Linked DNA regions of Stegostoma tigrinum. The main gene of each other region encodes a partner of the protein of the gene in region 2 in a complex. Links are inferred from orthologs where the notes say so. Each region holds a gene or a part of one and is shown on either strand. Other genes may lie near its edges.

What was found.
Region 1: the proteins of topbp1 (region 2) and gins1 are in contact, whole or in part, in a cryo-EM structure (PDB 8OK2), measured with the Homo sapiens proteins. The link is inferred for Stegostoma tigrinum from reciprocal best matches to the Homo sapiens genes TOPBP1 and GINS1. Residues at the interface, in NP_008958.2 of Homo sapiens: Leu490, Leu491, Ser492, Gln493, Tyr494, Glu495, Asn496, Leu586, Ser587, Arg588, Thr589, Val590, Val596, Cys601, Glu602, Val603, Ala605, Thr606, Val607, Gly608, Val610, Lys629, Pro636, Val637, Pro638, Val639, Met640, Thr641, Arg726; in NP_066545.3 of Homo sapiens: Asn43, Gln44, Val47, Asn48, Lys51, His66, Arg91, Tyr94, Gly95, Ser96, Asn100, Arg103, Phe104, Arg119, Ala122, Met125, Glu132, Gly133, Leu134, Asp135, Thr137, Gln138, Asp139.
Region 3: the proteins of topbp1 (region 2) and brip1 are in contact, whole or in part, in a crystal structure (PDB 3AL3), measured with the Homo sapiens proteins. The link is inferred for Stegostoma tigrinum from reciprocal best matches to the Homo sapiens genes TOPBP1 and BRIP1. Residues at the interface, in NP_008958.2 of Homo sapiens: Leu1272, Ser1273, Ser1274, Leu1275, Asn1276, Pro1277, Arg1280, Gln1298, His1311, Leu1313, Arg1314, Asn1315, Glu1316, Lys1317, Leu1319, Gln1366, Arg1407, Gly1410, Phe1411, Leu1414, Thr1466, Glu1467, Ile1469, Ala1470; in NP_114432.2 of Homo sapiens: Ser1129, Tyr1131, Phe1132, Thr1133, Pro1134, Glu1135, Leu1136, Tyr1137, Asp1138.

The regions. Positions count from the first base shown.
Region 1 is NC_081362.1:20,095,628-20,102,616, reverse strand, and holds the start of gins1 (DNA replication complex GINS protein PSF1), read right to left. Parts: upstream 3,003-6,989; 5' UTR 2,675-3,002; coding exon 2,600-2,674; intron 1-2,599. UniProt on the Homo sapiens protein: Required for correct functioning of the GINS complex, a complex that plays an essential role in the initiation of DNA replication, and progression of DNA replication forks.
Region 2 is NC_081355.1:12,951,158-12,958,692, reverse strand, and holds the start of topbp1 (DNA topoisomerase 2-binding protein 1), read right to left. Parts: upstream 3,040-7,535; 5' UTR 2,894-3,039; intron 2,854-2,893; exon of another isoform or gene 2,701-2,853; intron 2,695-2,700; exon of another isoform or gene 2,580-2,694; intron 633-2,579; 5' UTR 618-632; coding exon 528-617; intron 443-527; coding exon 308-442; intron 1-307. UniProt on the Homo sapiens protein: Scaffold protein that acts as a key protein-protein adapter in DNA replication and DNA repair. Composed of multiple BRCT domains, which specifically recognize and bind phosphorylated proteins, bringing proteins together into functional combinations.
Region 3 is NC_081380.1:43,259,554-43,266,715, reverse strand, and holds the start of brip1 (Fanconi anemia group J protein), read right to left. Parts: upstream 3,006-7,162; 5' UTR 2,791-3,005; intron 1-2,790. Other genes in the region: ints2 (integrator complex subunit 2), read left to right, coding at 3,236-3,271, 5,859-6,166, 6,821-6,959. UniProt on the Homo sapiens protein: DNA-dependent ATPase and 5'-3' DNA helicase required for the maintenance of chromosomal stability. Acts late in the Fanconi anemia pathway, after FANCD2 ubiquitination.

The DNA.
Region 1 (6,989 bases), on a different chromosome or scaffold from region 2:
ATGGATCACAAAAAAACAAGCATCCAAGTTCAGTAGGTAATGGGAAGGCAAATGAAATGTTGGCTTTTATTTCAAATGAAATGGAGAATGAACGTAAAGAGGTTTTCCTACAACTATACAAAGTATAGTCAGACCACAGCTGGAATACTACGAACAGTTTTGGGCCCCTTATCTAAGGAAGGATATACTGGCATCAGAGGTATGGAAGGATTGGGCTGGTTTTCATTAGAATAGAGAAGAATGAGAGACAACCTTATTGAAACATATAAAATTCTTAACTAACTTGACAGAGTAGATGTGGAGAGCTTGTTGCCCCTTATAGGAGAGTATAGGGTCAAAGGGCATAATTTCAGAATAATACGTTGACCATTTAGGGCAGATGAGGAGGAATTTCTTCTCTCAGAAGTGGAGAATGTTCAGAATTGTTTATCACAAAAGGCTGGGGAGGCAGGGTCATTGAGTCGTTAAGGCAGAGATAGATATTTAATTCGTAAATGAATCATGAGTTATGAGGAAAAGGCAGGAAAGGGGAGTGGAGGATTATCAGATCAGCCACGATTTCATTAAATGACAGAACAGACTCAACGGGCTGAATAGCATATTTCTACTCTTAGCACATGATTTATTCTTTATTTTGACTCTGAGGGGAAGGGAGATTGAGCAAACTGGAATAAAACAACTTAGAAGAATCGACTGTAAGAATTTCTAAGTAAAGCTATAAAAAGAAAACTGGAAAATGATGTGATGGGAACTAGCTAACATCTTTGTTCCATTAGGGATCTGAATTTCACATCCTTCCTATTGATATACAGTACAATTAGATATTTAATCAACATTAACAGGAACACAAGGATCTTTGGGCCATTTATATGAATGATCTTACCAGAAAATATCTATGGCAACTGTGAATAGAACATCCTCTTATTGTTTTACTTTTGTAATTCAGGCTTTGAATTACCTAATTCATTGCTGCGCTGCAGTGTTTCAGACATATTATGACCCCAGAGCTCTTTCTCTGCTGCATCTTTAGTCATTATCATTCATGGTATAATCACTTTTCTTCTTTCAGATATGCTCTAAGATACAAAGGGTACAGGTATCTGGGAAAGCTTCCCAAGTATGTCCATGGCCCAGATGGAAGAACCATTTTTTCCCTTAACAAGTACCCTTGTAGATAATGGAAACTCGAGTAGGTATGCAATTATTTCCAAAAATTTACACTCTGAATTGAAAAAACTCAACTCCCCTCGAATCCTTCTGTCAATTACTTGACATCTGTGTTCCCTAGTTATGGCTATGCAAAGAAAGCAGGTTCCTCCTAGTATAAGCTTGGCATTCATATATTCGATGTAGATTGAGAGACATGCAGCTCTGTGGCGCAGTGGAGAGCCTGCTGGACTTCCAAAACAATAGTGAAATGTGCTATTCAATGGTCGTGGGTACAAATCCTACCAGAGTTGAGTTTTCTGTGAAATCTTCACTATCATCACAGGGTGGCACGGTAATTAGCACCATTGCCTCACAGCACCAGGGATCTGGGTTTGATTCCAGCCTTGGGCAACTGTCTGTATGGAGTTTGCACATTCTCCTTGTGTTTGAGAGAGGTTCCTCTGGGTGCTCTGGCTTTCTCCCACAGTCCAAAGATGTGCAGGTTTGGTCGATTTGCCATGGGAAATGCAGGGTTATGGGCTTAGGGCAATGATGTGGATCTGAGTGGGATGCTTTTTGGAAGGTTGGGGTAGACTTGATGGACTGAATGGCCTGGTTCAACACTGTAGGGATTCTTGATTCTACATGGCACTATACTGTAGATATACATGGACATGAAAACAATATGGATCTGAAATCGAATATCTGAATGACATACCACTATATGCTTTATGAAACCTGTCCTTCTCCTTTCAGGGATCGAGGCAGGCACGCCAAGTCTCCTCTGGTCCTCTACAATTCATAATATCCCACTATTCACTGCGCAGTCCGTTGCCTCGTTTGGTCTTGCCCAACTCCATTCCCGCAGATTTCTCTGCATTGATTTTCCCCACGCCAAACAAAAAACCTCGCCACTTTTCTAAGAACCAAAAGAACTGCGGATAGTGTAAATTAGGAACAATAAGAGAGTTGCTGGAAAAGCTCAGCAGGTCTGGCAGTATCTGTAGAGGAGAAAACAGAGTTAACGTTTCGGGTCCGGTGACCCTTCCTCAGTTCCGGACCCGAAGCGTTAATTCTGTTTTCTTTTTCACAGATGCTGCCAGATCTGCTGAGCTTTTCCAGCAACTTCGTTTTTGCTCGCCACTTTTCTGTCCACTTGACCACTGTCGAACCTATAACCTTCTCCCTCACTACCAATTCAATCGCGTTTTTATTCCTCAACATCATTATTTGTCTCGTCCTTCATTATTGCTCGATTAAACAATAGTAAAAATGTTGGGTATTAAAATAAACAACTGAAAGCACTCGAGAAACTCGGCAGATCTGGCAGCATCCCTAGACACAAAAACAAGGTTAAAGTCTCGAGCCCAATAACATTTCTTCGGAGTAAGATTAGTGTTTCACTTTTAATATTTTAAAGACTTATTTGGAAAAATACTACGTTACTCACATTAAAAGCGGGCAACTGACCGTCCGCAGCTCGTTGGAGTTCTCGGATTAACTCGATAGCTTTTTCACAAAACATTATTCCCAGAAGGAGCAAACGGTATTATAATATAAACCTCTACAAACAAGAACGGACGAGCTGTAAAACACGGAGCAAAAATCTTCCATCCAAACCCCCGCCAAAACCGACTAAAGACCCAGGTGGCGGCGGGACCAATCAGGAAGGTGGAGAGCGGGCAGTCACCTCCGTCACTTCCTCCCGAAAAAAATAGCTTGACTGCAAAGTATAAACAGCGAACAATATCTACTCGATGTTCCTACAAAAGGTATGTGTGGTCAACTGATTTATTTTTAAAAATGTGAAATTCCTTCTTTGTGTATGCCCCCCTCCCGTACAACAGATTCGCCGTTTGATTTTGCTTTTTCCCCTACGGCTCGAGCTTCTCAGTCAACCGGCTCCCTCAGCGCGAGACCCAACTGGCGAACTCGAGGAGAGCGCTTGCGCTCTAACTGCCCCTTCCTTTCGCTACTGGCAACCCTCTCTCTATCACAACCGTCATGTTCCATTTGTTTCTACTCATAGAAAAATCCCCACAACATGAAACCAGGTCCATACCGCCCTTTCGAAGGAAGAAGAAGCATCCCACCCAGATCCACTCCCCAACCCTTCATTTCCTATATCTAATCCACCTAATTTACACACCCCGGGACATTACGGGCAATTTAGCATGACCAATTCACCTAACCTGCACATCTTTGGACTGCGGGAGGAAACCCACGCAGACACGGGGAGAATGTGCAGACTCCACACAGACAGTCACCCGAGGGTGGAATCGAACTCGGGTACCTGGCGCTATGAGGCAGCAGTGTTAACCACTGAACCACCGTGCCACCCAAAATGAAGGCAAGTTCGTCTGGGATGTGTTTTTAATTCGTCCATTTTAAGAATGCTGTGTGCATTCAGTTAGCCATTTATTCTGCCTTTTTACCTTTTTTTTGCCTTTTCCTCATCTGTTAGTATACTAACAATGCCTGTATGCCCTGTCCCCTCTTATCACAGTGTTTGATAATTATTCCCATCTCTGTCGTATTGCCTTGTTTTACTTCCTCCATAACTTTCAAAATTTCCCTTCATGTAAGCCCTATTTTCCCCACCTCTCCCAACTGTTCTTTTTAGCTGAAAACCTACTGTACAGTCCTTGTTGTATAATTTAGCTAGATGTTGGCCCAGTGTAGCTGAAGAGAAGGCACAGTACTGCTCCCTTTTTGTCCAGCACTGATGCCAACTCTCTTCAAATTTAAATGTATTTCTTCTACACTAAACTTTGAACCAATTCAATGCTCTAACCTTGGTAACTCTGTGCCAAATTTGTCTTCAGTAAGTAATCCAGGGACATATCTATCAGTGTAGCTAGATAAGCTATTAATCTAATGCAATGTATCAGTCTCTATGTCAGTTTAACCTACCGTCTGCTTTTACAGGAATAACATCAGCAAACTTTGAACATTCACCAGCTTCTGGGGGGAAAAAAGTGAAAAAGCAACATCTGTTTTCACTTCTGCAAATAATTCCCAAGTTAGCACTTATTACACTCTGCTGACAAACTTGTGTACATAGGTTTATGATTAATATGTTCAGGGTTGGAAAGAGGTCTTCAGACCCATACCCATGATTTTCTGAGTTGACTATTATCCACCAAACTTCTCTCCTATGCCTTGTAGGAGACAATGAGCTGATTGATTTATTGGTGCTATCTGACCTATTCTAGCTAAACCTTTTTAGGTCCCACAGGCACAAGTTACTATCAAGAAATAACTTGTTTTATTTATTGAGATCACATAGCTTAAGAATTCTAACTAATGCTGTCTCAACAAAAGCTCCTGTCATTGTTGAAGATTTGCAGTCAGTGTCACTATGGGAAACTCGTGGTAATGGCAAAAATAGCTGCAAGGTCTTGTTGGATTTTGAGCAAAATAGAAATAAACAGAAAATTCTGGAGAGACTCAACAGATCTAGCAGTATTGGTGGAGAGAGAAACTGTTTTGAAAAAGAACTGAGGATGCTGTAAATCAGGGAGGAAAAAAAACATCAGAGATAATGGGAACTGCAGATGCTGGAGATTCCAAGATAATAAAATGTGAGGCTGGATGAACACAGCAGGCCAAGCAGCATCTCAGGAGCACAAAAGCTGACGTTTCGGGCCTGGACCCTTCATCAGAGAGGGGGATGGGGGGAGGGAACTGGAATAAATAGGGAGAGAGGGGGAGGCGGACCGAAGATGGAGAGTAAAGAAGATAGGTGGAGAGGGTGTAGGTGGGGAGGTAGGGAGGGGATAGGTCAGTCCAGGGAAGACGGACAGGTCAAGGAGGTGGGATGAGGTTAGTAGGTAGCTGGGGGTGCGGCTTGGGGTGGGAGGAAGGGATGGGTGAGAGGAAGAACCGGTTAGGGAGGCAGAGACAGGTTGGACTGGTTTTGGGATGCAGTGGGTGGGGGGGAAGAGCTGGGCTGGTTGTGTGGTGCAGTGGGGGGAGGGGATGAACTGGGCTGGTTTAGGGATGCAGTGGGGGAAGGGGAGATTTTGAAACTGGTGAAGTCCACATTGATACCATATGGCTGCAGGGTTCCCAGGCGGAATATGAGTTGCTGTTCCTGCAACCTTCGGGTGGCATCATTGTGGCAGTGCAGGAGGCCCATGATGGACATGTCATCAAGAGAATGGGAGGGGGAGTGGAAATGGTTTGCGACTGGGAGGTGCAGTTGTTTGTTGCGAACTGAGCGGAGGTGTTCTGCAAAGCGGTCCCCATGTTGCTGGAAAAGCTCAGCAGGTCTGGCAGCATCTGTGAAGAAGAAATCAGTTAATATTTCGGGTCTGGTGACCATTCCTCAGAACTTCTGAGTTCTGAAAAAGAGTCTTTGGACTTGAAATGTTAAATTTCATTCATTTCCACAGATGTTTCCAGGCCTGCTGAGTTTCTTTATTTTCTGCTTTTATTTAAAGCATCTGTAGTATTTGGAATTATTAGGAGGAATTAGAGTTTCTGTAGTGAGAAACTGAAATAAGAATCATGCCTTAAGGTAACATAGGCATAGCTGAGAGCTTAATGGGAATGATGTCACACGTGCAGAAACAGGTATTTTTGATGATTAACTCAACCTGCAATTTAAAGCTCAACTTATTGATGGAGATCTCCACATCAATAAGCAGCAGGTAAAGGAGATGAAATCATGTTCTGAGGCATTACTTTTCAGGTACTGATTGCTTGACAGGATAGTATCGGATAAGCTGATGAATGGAATGTTTTGTTCACTTTTTTATAAGCAGGAAATCTCTAAATTTTAAGATCTCTCAACAGGGGTTTGGCATTCTATTTAAGCATTGCTCTATACTTTCTCATACTGATGAGAATGTACATTACCTTCTGGTATGCAAAAAGTCACTTCAAACACATTATTTCTAAGAAACATTTCTTTCCACTTAACTTCCTAGATGATACTGACTTGAAGAGATTTTGTTACATATTGGTAGTGTCCTTACCTCTGAGCTACAAGTTGTGGGTTCAATTCCCACCTTAAGACTTGACGTCCATAAAACTATGTCTTTACCTGGGAAAACAAGATACAGTCGTTATTAATACGTAAATCCTTTTGATATGCTTAAGGCAGACTGTAAGAATGCGAGAGTTTTCTAGTCCGACAATATGGTAGCCGTAGACCAGAGACTTCCCCATGTTAAAGTCATTTGAGGAGTTACTGTACACTATTAAATTTGGTTCGCCTGACATAGCTGCAAAGAAGCAAAAACTTTCAATCCTATTGTTCAGTTCATTTTTAATTGGTTGGGCAATCATCATTTTGAATTTGATAATATAATCGAGAAGTACAGTTTATAAATGAATTTGTTTTGGTACACCTCTATAAAAGGATTTTGAATGTATTTTTAAGCACAGCTTTTACTCAGTCGGTTGTCATTCAGTTGTCGATTAGCAGATTAGAGCTTTACCCAGTAGCAAACAAGTACACAATACATAAATGAGGGTCAGATTTATGCTGAGCGTTAATGCAACTTTACTTTCAATAATCCATGGAAAATTGGTCTTTCCCAATAGAATACCTGCCTTCTCAGGTGAATGTAAATGATCCATTGGCACTATTGCAAAAAAAGCGTGGGTTTTCTTTTAATATAGCCACTGTGAAATCAACCATTTGACAAAGTAAACAATTGACACGCACCACTCACAAGTAGCAATAACACAGACAGGGAGTTTAGGATGAGAGGGAGGGGATCCAATTGAAATAGGGTTGGAGGGGGAACTGATACACTCCGCTTTATCCTTCTCAAAGGCTTTCAAAGTGTTCTCTTGATACTTTTGAGTTAATTGTATCAAAATTGGCT
Region 2 (7,535 bases):
TTACCAGTTCAGTGCTCAATAAACTTGTCTGGTAGTTAGTAATCTGAATGTGATCCATTAAATTATACAGCCCTTCACCTACTGAACACGAGATCTTATGGCTGCATATTATAAATTCTAGCAGCTGGTGTACAGGTCACAATTGTTCTCTGCTTGAGGGCTAAATTTTGCTGTCTTGTGGTACCACCATTGGTTCAGACAGATGTGGCAGTGGGCTTTCTATTTGGGTTCAGGCCACACTTGACAAAAAGCAGTATATAACAAAATCAAAAAAACATTCTACAAGAGCAAAAAATAAACTACATACCTTTTTCAGGTGATTGTAAGCATCTCCCTCAAATGGGTCACATATATAAAGTGAGCTGTCTTTTACTTTCAAGTTAAATACTTCATCTTCATGTACAATCTGCAGGAAGTCCTCAGATTTAAATTCTTTAATGGCCTGCAAATCAGAAAAAAGTTGTATGAAATGAATAAAGTTAAAAGTCAGAAAGGTTTAAACATTAAATGGTATTTTATAAACCAACCTTATACGCTTTTGTGAAATATTCAGAATCGTTCCCTTTCATTTTTATAAATTTCACTAGAAAAGGTTCAGGCTTTGCAGAGCTCGGCATTTTCACAATCTAAACCTGGAGAAAAGAAATGTCAAAAGGTATTTAAAGTCTCTCAATATCAGGACAAAAAAGTTGTTTGGAAACTACCACAGTGACTATAATTCAAAAGTATTTAAATGGTTGCAAACCACTTTAATACTTCTAAAGTCATTAAAGACTCTATATAAATGAAAGTTTTCCTTTGTCTCTTTCAAATTAAGAGTAAATCTGACCTTTGAATATCACTGAACACTGTGGAAATATAAGCATTAAAATTTGCATTAAATAAACTTCGGCATTATGTCCTGCTTGCAAGCCAAGATAATTCAACATTTTCCTCTGGTTCCATGTTAAGCAAATTCTGTTAAAAGATCAATGTCTGCAGAATCGCTAAATTTCTCTTCAAGTAACTAACACAACACCAGGAGAAAACAAAGTCTGTTTTCTCCTCCACAGATGCTGCCAGACCTGCTGAGCTTTTCCAGCAACTTTGTTTTTGTTCCTGATTTACAGTATCCGCAGTTCTTTCGGTTTTATTTTGAAAAAGTTGCCCCATTGGTGCCTTTTAAATTTTTCCACTCTCACCTTAAAGCTATGTCCTCTAGTTTTGGACTCTGCTATCCTGGGGAAAAGACCTTGGGTATTCACCCTATCTATGATCCTCATGATTTTATAAACTTCTATAAGGTCATCCCTCAGTATCCAAGGCTCCAGGGAAAATAGCCCCAGCCTATTCAGCCTCTCCCTATAGCTCAGACCCACCAACCCTGGTAACATCTTGTAAATCTTTACTGAACCCTTTCAAGTTTCAGAACCTCTTTCCTATTGCAGGGAGACCAGAACTGAACACAGTATTCCAAAAGCAGCTAACCAATGTCCTGTGCAGCCACAACAATGATGATTTGTACACAAAATTTCTATTTATCCTTCAATGAAATGGCATGTGTTCAGTCTACAGCTACATTACCAATTAGCTTTATAGTCAGAGACATCAAAACTGCTTAATAAACAACCTGTATAAGAGCAAATACAAAAATATACTCACGCATAAAGCACTTTCTGAATACTACTTGCTATCTTGCTTAAATACCATGCATTTGAAGCCTTTGAAAACTCTGAATACCCAACCTCCCACAGTTATTTCAGCAGTAGTGCCGGAGCTGTCGGAAACATTTCACAGCATATTGTTACATATCCAACCATATGACATTCACCGTGAAATATGAGCTGCAAACATTTTTACTGTCAGCAATTCTTGAAACCAATTAGTGAATGCAGTCAGTTTCCGTTACTCAAGGAAATTTAGCACAATAACTGTATACAATAAGCCTCTTTAGTGTCAATTCCAGAAATGGTTACAAATGTGACAAAGTCAAATGACATCAAGAGCACTTTTATGTAGATGCAGTCTGTTTAACTGATGCGTAAACACAAGTAGAGTGACCATCAGATAGTCACATACCAGAATCTGTTTTCAACTTTATATTACACATCAAAGCTGGATTACTTCTAGGTTTACGATTTTTTTTACAAAAGTGATCTGCCACTCTGGATGGTGCTGCCCCCCCAAATAACTGAATTTACACATGCACATAGAAATACATTTGACAATAAAGCTGCAACGATTGAAAAAGAATGTAGAATATTTTATCACTTATTCATTAAGCTGATATGACTGAAAGATCTAAATAGGAGACTATACATTTAGTTCACAGATCAAAACAAGACAGTCATTTGTTACAGTAATGGCATATCACATTGTTTCTGACTTCACAGTACTGGGAAAATAATTCCTTCAGTCACAAGGAGTCAACACAGTAAAGGTAGAAAGTACCTCAGGTCTTCCAAAAAGATCCTGGCACATTGCAAGATACAAAGCGTGGAGCTGGATGAACACAGCAGCTCCACACTTTGTTTCTTGGATTCTCCAGGATCTGCAGTTCCCATTATCCCAGATACATTGCATCAGTTATTCAGTCTTACCCAGTCTCATTGCAAAACATAAAGCTGATAAATGTTGGGAGAGTTGGTGGCAGTTAAGATGGCGGGGGGATGTCGGGGAATGAGAACAGGGTTCCCTCAGCCCCCGCTCACTCGAACCCACCTACAGCGGCTGCTGGACTCCCAGGGCGGATGCTCCAGGAAAAGAGGCATCAAAGCGGGGCCCCGGCCTCTCCCGGAAAATTTCTCGCCTCTCCCGGGCCCTCCCTCCCTCCGCCTCCTGCGGCCCCGGTGACCGGCTCCAGCTGCCGACCTCGGTTACCCGGGAAACCAGAACTGCCGCCTGTCCGCCTCACCATCAAGAGCCGCGGGTCCAACACATCTCTACGCTTCCCCAAACACTGATCGCTGTTTATGAATTTAATCTTTATGTTTCAAAACAAACATTCTCGTTTCCCGCTCGGAGTGATTTCAGCAAGTACTGAAAGGCCCTCAGGCACATTTGTGGACGCAAAAGGTTTAGGGGTCCTGACGATCAGGGCGGGAGACTGGGAACGTAATGGGATCATGTGACTGAGAACAAACCCCCCGGAAGTAGCTAAGGAGGCAACATGTTGTAGCCGAGACACCACATCTGGAGTACTGTGTACATAGGAAAGAATGTAAATGCTTCAGAAAAAGTTGACGAGAAGGTTCACTTGTCTGATTCGTGGGAGTGAATGGGTTAGCCTCTGCTTCATCTTGAGTGGTTCACAGACCAGTATCCACCAATATTTATGTACATAGCTCTGGCTAAGCTAGGCGCAACCTGCTGATTTGGTCATCCAGGCTGTGAAAATCTTTGAACGGAAATAATCCAAATTTGGGTCTTGAAAAATGTGTTATTTAGCTCCTAAATTTGGGGGCTATGACCATTTGCTTTGGCCGCTTTCATTGTGCCCTCGGGAAGACAGTTTGTGCTTTGTAACATGTTATTGCCAGATGGCACGAGATACTTAAATAAAAGTTAAATACTTCAAGAATACTGGAAATCCGAAATAACACAAGGGTGAGGAGTTAGCTATGTGGAGTGATAAACAGTTAATTTTTCAAGTGCTCCTAAGAAGCTGCTGGGCCTGCTGTGTTCATCCAGCTCCACACCTTGTTATCTTTATGTCTTATTCAATACCACCTACTTAGTTCTGCCAATTCTCTGTATCTATTCCATATTTTGTAGATCATGGTTAGTCTACTCCTTCCTCCTCTGCGCTAGTGACCACCATTCAAAATTTTTGATCCACTGGTAAAACTAGTGTATTTCCTTTAATTTGCAAAGCATATCTTTGAATTACATTACACTCACTTGAATCTCGTTATACAAGAATCCCACACCTTTTGGCCATACTGCAGGATTATTGGGTAAGGTATAATGTCCTGATTCTAACAATACAACAAAGATTTGTCCTCAGAAATCCAAAACTCCTGTTTGCTTAGGATAGCGTATGCTAAATGTAGAACCATAGTTGAAGAATGATTTTAAGATGAACCTTCATATATGTTTGCGCATCTACTCATTGCAGAATTTGATTACAGAACTTATACCTGTTGATGGATCCTTTCATTTCACAAACACATACAATAAAGCAATGTGTCAGAACAGAATACTTTCTCCCATTAGTCCTGCCAGTTTTGCAATTCCAACAAATCATCTTTCAAGGAATTGATACAATCTTGAGTTTTTCCCCTTGATGCATGAACTATACAGTCAACTGCAAAATCTTGTGGTTTCTTTTAACCTTGTTGAGAAGGTTATTTACACATCCTAAGAAAAGTAAAGGTACCATCATGTTACCCTGCCCACTTGGACAGGATGATTCCCCATCGTACAGTGGTGCCTTCTGTCAGCAGGTTCATATTAATCACGTCACCCTAATTCCATAGTAATAAGTTTGGACAAAAGCTTTTCATGAGTAACTCAGTGAAAAGTTTTTCAAAAATCTAGTTTTGGCACATGAGTAGGTTCATCTCTTTCAAGTCTTGAAGCTTGGTCATCAGGGGCAGCACAGTAGCCAGTTCTGTTGCCCCACAGCACCAGGGACCTAGGTTTGGTTCTGGCCTCAGGTGACGTTCTCCCTGTGTCTGTGTGGGTTTCCTGTGGGTACTCCAGTTCCTCCCACAGTCCAAAGATATGTGGTAAATGGATTTACCATGCTAAATTGCCTCAGTGTTTGGGGGTGTGTAGATGAAATAGATCAGTCCTGAGAAATGCAGAGCGGGTTTGGGGGGGGGGGGGGGGGGGGGGGGTGGCGCGCATGGACAGAACAGACAAACATAGGAGTCATGGGGGGGGGGGAATGGTCTTCAGAAAGTCACTGTGGACTGGAGTTGAAGGGCCTGTTTCCATAAAGTAGGGATTCTAAAAAAAAAGCTGTGTTTTGTTTAATCAAAAACCCCAAATGAGTACAAGGCACATGGCAAGAATAAACAATATTAACAAAACAGTTTGAATATTATCACAAAATCATGATAGTGGCAAATGGGACAAGATTAATTTAGAATATCTGGTTAGCATGGATGAGGGTCCATTTCTGTGCTGCACATCTATGACTTGAGTTCTGGTCTCCATCCTATAGGACAGATGTTGTGAAACTTGAAAGGGTTCAGAAAAGATCTACAAGGCTGTTGCCAGGGTTGTAACTGCAGGGAGGCTGAATAAGCTGGGGGCTTTTTCTACCCCAGAGTGACTGAGGTTGAGTGCTGACCTTAGGTTTATAAAGTCATAGGGTTACTAGCCAGGGTAGCAGATTCCAAAACTTGAGGACACAGGTTAGGGGGGGGGGGGGGGTGCAGGGGGGAAGAGATTTAAAAGGGATATTCCATGCAGAGGGTGTCACATGTGGAATAAGCTGCCAGAAGAAGGGATTGAGGCTGGTACAATGACAACATTTACAAGGAATCTTGATGGCTAGATGAACTACATGAATAGAAAAGGGTTCAGAGGGATATGGGACAAATGAGACTAAATTTAAGAGACCTTGTTGGCATAGACTGTTGAGTCCAACTTGTCCATCTCCATGCTGTACATTCTCTGACTCTATACAGCACAGGAGGCCATTGCCCCATTTTGCCTGTATGTGCTGTACAATTTATTGCTAAGCCTCTGCTTCTTCCCCATATCCCTGCACCTGTAACTCAGTCATTTTCTGGCTGAAATTTATACTCCTCTTTAAATAAGTTTTCTTTTCCTATTGGTCTGGTGAGTACTATGAAACATTTGTTATAAACATATTGATAAGTGGGAGGTATAGGCTGGCTAGAGCAGATGCAGACATATACATATAAAGTAACCTCCATGAATAACATTCAAATAGAGTTGGCAATCAAGTGAAAGACCAGCAACTGGCTAACACCAGAAAAAGGAGCATATAAACACACCTTCTCATGTTTAAAGGAAGAAATTGCAAAACAAATCACAAGAGGGCATTCTATTGGAGATATTGAAACACAGCAGGCTAAAAGTGGAAAAGCTAAAGTCAAAAGGTGCAGGTCATAAGACAAGCGGAAGTTAGAGACTTACTGAGAGCAGGAGATACTGTTTGGCCATGAGATGGTCTAAAATACATGGCTTAAAACACCTCCTCTAGGTGGCAGAAAGAGCACACATTCACTGAGCAAACTAGAATCACTTGGAAGTGATTGCTTCATTTCAATCAGTTGCAAAGATGGTAAATTACATGCAGTTCCTCCTAAATATTGCATTCATGCTTCCAATAAGTTGTCCCAAGTTTCTTGGATAAATTCCCCAAATTAGCCATGTTGGCATCATAACTGTTTAGTTAACATCACTGACCACCATTCAAATGCAAAGAAAATGAGAACTTACTGCCTTTCCCTTCCATAAATTACATTTCTCAATATATTTGCACATGATTAGTAATGTCAGAAGGGAAGAATTTTCAATTTGCTAAAAAGAATTAGAAGCTAGGTCTCAATGAGTTTGGTTTCAAAACAAAATCCATCACTATTCAGCCATTCAGCTTGTGAAACATTTCAGTCATATCAATGAAGCATGTGTCTTGCTAAGATATGCTTGGGAGTGAATTGTCATTTTGTTTTGCTGACCTACGGGAAAAGCTGTGAACTGCTTGCTGAATACCTTGTCTTTCCAATTGACTGTGGAAGTTTTAAATTTAAAAAAAAAACACAGGGAGACTGCAAGGTGCAAGTGATAAAAACAGAAAATGCTGGAAAACTCAGCGGGTCTGGCAGCATCTGTGGCTAGAGAAACAGTGTTAACGTTCCAAGTCTACTGACTCTTCAGAACTGAGGTCATATTGGACCCAAAAGCATTAACCGTCTTGTCTCTCCACAAATACTGCATGCGATAATGGTGTGAATTTAAGGGGTTATTTTGTCCTGGTTTTTTTTTGGAAGAGGTTTTAAGACAGAGTTCTGAGCAGTCCACCAAAACCATGTGTCAACAGCACAAGGCCTTGGGCCTCCCACAGAACCAGGATCTCTAGTTTAGCTTTCAGCAGAAGCTGCTGGGTTTGTTAAAAGCCACCACACCTCTTTGCTACATCCAAAAGCTGGGAGGTCTTTCAAAATTGTCTTTGATGTTCTTTCCTCCCAGACTGGAGTTTTGTTTCCATTTCAGATTTCCAGCCTCTGCAGTATTTTAATTTTGTTTCAGATTTTGTGATGTCAGGTGATTAGAACAAGTTAAAATATAAACGAGGTCAGACCAACCTCAAAAATGGAAAGAGCGTCATGTCACATTTACCTCAATTGAAGAAAATTTGAGCTAAATCACAAGATTTAATCTGACTCTTACCCATGTTGCTTTGTTACGTATAAAAAGCATTAAGTTTCAACCTGCCCAGTGTTTGGGCTTGCCTCTAGAAAACAGGCAGGAGCCTATCCAAAGATGTAATATCCAGCTCAGATCTCATGCTACAACTCTGGAGAGCACAATTAGATTATGGGCACCACAGACTCAACTCAGTGATACTGAACACC
Region 3 (7,162 bases), on a different chromosome or scaffold from region 2:
TTAGTCTTTCTTGATCCAAAACTATCCAAAGTTCTACCAAACTCTGGATGAAGGAGGGACCGGCCAAAAGTCTAACCAAGGAGTTGAAGAGTTTTAAAAAGACCATGGTTACAGAGGCTGTTCCAAGCAGTGGGGCTGAGGCAATTGAACATTCCATCAAAAGTGATGGACAGATAGTGATATACTGAAGAACAGAGAGTATGATGCAAAGCAATGCAGCCCGGTTATAACTGGAGATAAAGGAAGCAGTGACTTAGTGGTAATATCACTGAACTTGTAATCAAAGATCACACAATAGTATTCTGGCAACACGAGTCAGAATCCCACCAAAATATCTTTTAGGGAAGGAAATCTGCCATCTTCACCTGGTCTGGCTACATGTGACTCCAGACCAATGCTTAACTGCTCTCTAGGCAATTGGCAGCTGCAATAAATGCTGACCTAGCCAGCAATGCCCTCATCCTGTGAACGACTAAAAGATAGCTGCACTGAACGGATGGCACAAAGCCACAGAGGAATTTATAGATATTAATAGAGAAGTCTTTAAAATTATGAAGGAGCTTAATAGGGTACATAACAATGTGACGAGTCCAAAGCTGATGGACTGAAATACAATTGATTACGAACAGAATCAAATTGTTAATTCAGGAGAAACTTTCATCTGTATGGTACACATGACACTGTGAATTAGGAGGAGTAGGACACTTGCCCCCCCCCCCCCCCCCAGCCTGTTCTTCCATTCAAAATGATAGTTTTTCTGGTTGCTGACTCATGTCTGATTTCCTTTTGCCCCCTTATACAGAATCAATCTACCACTGCCTTAAATGCAGTACCCGGAGGAAACCCACATAGACATGGGGAGAACGTGCAAACTCCACACGACAGTCACCCAACGGTGGAAGCAAACCTGGGTCCCTGGTGTTGAGAGGCCGCATTGTTAACCACGGAGTCACTGTGCCACCGTGGTGAATGATTCAAAGGCTCTGCTTCCACAGCCTTCCAAAGGCACTCAAACCCTCTAAGAAACAAATTTCCTTTTTTTTGTCTTAAATGAGTGACTCCTTATTTTGAAAGTGACTGCTGCCTCTAGATTCTCCCACAAGTATAAACATACTTTTCATAATTACCTTGTCCAGGTTCCTCAGGGTCTGTATGTTTCAATAAAGTTTCAATCAAGGTGTTTAGTTGTTCTAAACACCAGCAGATAGAAGCCTAGCCTGTTCAACCTTTCCACAAAAGAAAACCAACCCATTTCTGTGAGGGATAATAGGAACTGCAGATGCTGGAGAATCCGAGATAACAAAGCGTGGAGCTGGATGAACACAGCAGGCCAAGCAGCAACTTGCTCCTCTGATGCTGCTTGGCCTGCTGTGTTCATCCAGTTCCACACTTTGTTACCTCAACCCATTTCTGTTATTGGTGTGGTAAATCTACTTGGAACATTTGCATCCCCCCTTAAATAAGATGACCTAAACCATGTACAGTACACTGGATGCAATCTTACCAGTGGCACGTATAACTGAAGTACACCTTCTCTACTTTTGTTTTCAATACCACTTGTGATAAATCATAACATTCTACTAGCTTTCCTAATAACTTGTTGTACCTGTATACCAGCCTTTTGTGATTAAAAATTGGAGCACCCAAATCTCTATATCTCAGAGTTTTGCAATCACTCAGCACGGCGGCACAGTGGCTCAGTGATTAGCACTAATGTCTCACTTCATCAAAGATTCAGGTTTGCTTCCACCCTTGGGGACTGTCTGTGTGGAGTTTTCACATTCTCCCCGTGTCTGCGTGGGTTTCCTCCAGGTACTCGAGTTTCTTCCCACAGTCCAAAGATGTGCAGGGTAGGCGGATTGGCCATGCTAAATTGCCCACAGTATCCAGGGATGTTTTGTTAAGTGGGTCAGACATGGGAAATACATGGGTAGGGGAATGGGTCTGGGTGGGATGCTCTTCAGGAGGGCAGCATGGACTTGCTAGGCCAAATAGCCAGTTTCCACACTATAGGGACTCTATGACATACATGATATGCTTGTTTTATATTCTTCCTGTCAAAATGGAGGTAACAGTTTATAAAATATCCTTTGGAGATCTCTAGACACTATCCATAAATTTGTAATTTATCCACAACACATTTTACAGTTGCTATTACTGAGCGTTGGGAATGTGCAATTCAGCACAATTGAGTTTCTGTCACTCGTAACAAAATACCTGTAGTCGCACTTAAAGGAAAGCTTCGTAAGCAGAGAGAAAGAAAAGGAACTGAAGGGTGTGCTGAGAAGAAGGGATAAAGTGGGACAGAAGCAGACTCGTGTGAAATATGAAATCTGAAGAAGGGTCCAGGCCCGGAACGTCAGCATTCCTGCTCCTCTGATGCCGCTTGGCCTGCTGTGTTCATCCAGCTCTAGACCTTGTTATCTGAAGTATGAACACTGGGCCGAATGGTCTGTACTTAAACGTTAGGTCACAGTTTTATTTTCATACTTCGATCTCCAACATTCCCAGTATTTTAATGGAGTATTCTAGTCCATTTAAATTTCATAGTGGGTACTCATGTAATCGACAGTGACAGAACAGCTGGATAAATGAAACAGTACAACCAGTTTGCCCACAAATTACAGCACACAAGTTGTGGGGAGAGCCAAACGGATTTCAGTGACAAGAAACAAATATTTCTGCAGATTTCAGGTGATACAGTTAATGAGGTTCTTCACCCATAATTTATGAATTCGAAGGTGCAAAACGCTTCAGTCTTTGTTCGTTTTCCACAAAGATATTACTCACAGTTTTCCAGCTTGTTTTACCCCATGCAATCGGACAACACAACTTCGCGCCTGACGATTAACCAACACGCATGTGCTGGACCCGAATCCCGGTGTACGCCGACGCATAGCTATGGGCCAATCAGCGGGCGGCTTGAACTACTCGCAGCCAATCGGCGGGAGAGAGCCGGATCGAGGCCAATTCGGACCAGAAAACGGAAAGAACTGAAGGGAGAATTACCGGGCCCAAAACATTGACTCTGATTTATCTCCGCAGATGCTGTCAGACTCGCTGTTTTTTTGTTTCCAATTCGGGTTAGTCGCCGCCGAATGGACGGCGGTATTGTGGCCAATCAGGAACGGGTGAGAACAGGAGCGTGAGGGAGGTAAGTCAATGGGAGAACGGGTTGCCCGACGACCAATGGGCGAGTCGATTCGGTGGCGGTAGTCCCTCACTGGCAGTTGCTATGTTACCCCGGCACGGCCCACAATCCCATGTGGCGGTTAGTACGGTGTTGTCAGTGGATTGGGGAGGTTTGATGTAGACAGTTACAGCAGAGGAGTTCAGTAGGAATTTGGATTTTTTTATTAAAAAAGCATATAAATCAGTTTAAGAGTACTGTATGTTCCCAGGCCTCCGAGAACTCCAGTTCGAAAGCGTTAGGGAGTTAAAACGACGAATGGCGAGCCCCCAGAGTTGGGTGTGTTTCTCGGCGAGAAGTGTTACGTGAGCCCGGCGTCTAATTTAGTGCGAGGCCTAGTTAATCGGTTTTCACTTTGTTTTCAGTAAAAGGTAGGGTATTTGATTTCTGAAAAAGCACGTAAGTTATTCAAAGTAAAAGTAATTTGTAATAATTTTAACTGAGGCATCGCGAGAATTTACGATTAAAGTTTCCATGTGTGAAAATAATTAAAAATATTGGATTCTAAAGTCAAATAATCTATGGAACGGGAATGCCATTCGTTGCTGTTAATATTTTCAGGTCATTTTGTGGCACACCCTGATTAAGTAGAATAACAAATTATTAAATAACAAAGTTAAATTTCTTGGTCTAAAAGTTGAGACATGCCTTGTACCAATGCAAATATGCCAAAAATATAGGAAGTCCTTTATGAAACACAGTTTTTTGTCAAGTTATCTGTAATTTTAGTTGTACTTGTTGGTTCTTGAGTTCGCTTTCACAATAACACCAAGATCAAGAATTTAGTACATCTGGGGAAACTGACTATTAAAATAAATATTGCCATTAATTGAAACAAAACCAGAAATTGCTGGAGAATTTTGCCAGGTCTGGCAGCCTCTGCAGAGGGAAAGCAAAGTTAACATTTTGAGCCCAGTGACCATCCTTCATAGGAGCTCTGAGGCAATTTCTGTTTTTATTTCAGATCTTCAGCATCTGCAGGGTTTTTTTTTGTTTTATTGCCAGTAGATAATGCATGTCCAGTATTTGTATGTTGTTTTTGAGCCAAACAGTGTGGAAGCAGACCCTTCAGTACAACTCCATGCCAACCAGATATCCTAAACTAATCTAGTCCCATTTTACAGTGTTTGGCCCATATCCCTCCAAACCCTTGCAATTCATGCAGCCAGCCTTTTAATTATTGTCATAGCACCTCCCTCCACCAGTTCCTCTGAGAGCTTGTTCCATACAAGCACCATCCTCTGTGTGGAAAAAGTCAGATTTTTTACAATAATTGCCAATATTACTGATTCAAGATTTATTAATTGAATGTACATTCAATCAGCTGCTATGGTGAGATTTATTCTGTACCCAGAACATGAGCACAGGCCACTATTTCTAAACCAGTGACATTATTACTACTCCTTTGTCCACTTTGTCACCCTGTTCAGAGGAGATCTGATTTTAATATTTAAAATTAAATTACTTGGTATAACAGAGAAACATGTTCCTCTGATGAGTGAGCACAAAGTTATAGGAATGTAATCTAAAATGGCACTGAAGACAAAATAAAGTTGCCATAGTCTTACTGGACCATAGGGTTGCTCTGTCATTAGGGAGAGATGATTGGTGGTACTTTATCCTGGCAACCATCACACACCTCAGGCAAGGGGAGACTTTGAGCAGGAGAGTTCTTTATAATAACCTCAGCCAGTGCAGGAATTGAACTAATGCGCTTGGCAAGACACTGCATCGTCCAGCTAATTGACCCTCTCCATGAAATCTCATTCCCTGATGAGCAGCAGGGGTGAAAACACTGAGTTTTAGCCAGTAGACCAAAGTGTGTGTTTTTTTGTTCAGGAGTGCACCTTTTCATGAGAAACTCTGGAAACATCTTATTCTAGAAGCCAAGGATGCTGGGAGTTAGTGCTTTCAAGCCCTGATCTAATGGAATAATGTTTTCTGAATATTCCTGTTGTCAAACAAAATTGTGTAGACATTGGCCAACAATAAATTTTGCTTGGCATTGATTTTTTTTAAAACATTGTTGATTACTGGACATGTGGGGGAGAATGTATGAGAAACAGCAGGAAAAACTTTCATTATTTTAAACTGTTGAGGTTGTTAGAGAATAGAAAGTACAATTTATGTCTAGATTTCAACACCCGGGCAGAATGCAAAAGTTGCACGTATAACTAACATGCACTTACATACACCTATTTATTAACTCTAACTTTGCTTCCAACACTCTAATACCAGTCAAACTCACTCAGTTCCCTTGAGAAGCTGATGGTGAGCTGCCTTCTACATGCTGTAGTTTGATGTCTTTAGGGAGGGGATTCAAAGATTTTGACCCAGCAGCAGTGAAGGAATGGCAAGCAGCTTGGAAGAGATCTTGCAGGTGGTGGTGTTCCCATGTATCTGCTGCCCTTGACCTTCTAGATGGAAGTACTTGTGGGTTTGGAAGGTGCTGTCTAAGGATCTCTGAATTTCTGCAGTGCACCTTGTAGGTAGTACATGCTACACTGCTGAGCGTTAGTGGTAGAGGGAGTGGTGTACGGTCTTGATGTACAATCAGCAAGAAACATTTCTGAATTTGGCAAGTCTTGGAGTAGATTTTTAACACTGTAAATAACTGCATCCCTCTGCTATGCTAAATTGAACAGTGTCTCAAATGATTTCTGTTTAGGTGCCTTTAGCAAAGATGGCGGAGTTTGCGTGCCTGCAGTTTGTGAGTTCGTTTGCATTTGAAGCAATGCAGAAGGTTGATGTGGTAAAACTGGCAGCTTTGAGTGATCCAGAGTTAAGGCTACTCTTGCCGTGTCTGGTGAGAATGGCACTTTGTGCCCCTGCTGATCAAAGTGAGGCTTGGGCACAAGACAAAAAACTCATCCTGCGTCTTCTGTCTGGGGTTGAGGCTGTCAACTCTATTGTGGCTCTATTGTCGGTTGATTTTCATGCTCTGGAACAGGATGCGACCAAAGAACAACAGCTCAGGTATTTATAGTACTTCCCAAGTTAATGTAAACAACGAGTAATTGTGAATTTCTGATGATCCATCAGTAACCTGAGTTAGCAAATCTACAACCCGTAACTGACATGAAACAAGAAATTAGGTTAATAATGCGGCTTTAACTCTATGTTGGTAGCGCTTATTCTTCTGAGTTAGGTTATGGGTTACAGTTTGCACTTCTCTAAAAATTTGATTTTATAATACTGCTGATGCACTTCGTGCAGTACTGAGGTGATGCACTGTTAGAAACCTGACTTTCACTTGAAGTTAAGTGAAGGCCTGGTGGCCCTTCTGAGTTGGGTATATCAGATCACATGACACTTTTCTGAATTAAAACAAAAACTGCTGCCCCTGTGTCATACCCAATGTTAATCCCTCAGCCCAGTGATGAATCATGGATTTGGCATTATTAAAACTGATTGACCATTATCCTGTTGCTGTTTGCAGAATCTTGATGTGAACAATTTGTCATTTTTCCTACTTTGTGATGTTGACTATGTTCCAGAAACATGTATTTTGTGATGTTTTGAAACGTTGCAAGATGCAGAATAATTACAATGTTTTTCTTTCTCACTTTAGTTATTACAACATTATTTTATCAAGAATAGTCCTCAAACTTATTAACTTTCTTTAAACAGGCACAAGTTAGGTGGAGCAAATGGAGAGAGCATCCTAGTATCACAGCTACAGCATGGCTTAGCTTTGGAGTTTGAACATAGTGATTCCCCTCGTCGTCTCCGACTAGCACTTAGTGAACTGTTAGTGATCATGAACAAGGTAATAAACAACGAATCTAAGATAGAAGCTTGTGTTCCATCTATGCATGCCACTGTCTGAGCACTGATGAGCTCATACTTTACTTCTGAGGAACTTGAGTTTGCCTCCCTTACTCTGTGTGTACTTAAGAGTGGAGGCAGGTGTCCTAAAGTCATAAATGCCAGAAAATCAAAGGTAAGGGCTATTTTCACATGCAGCTCCTC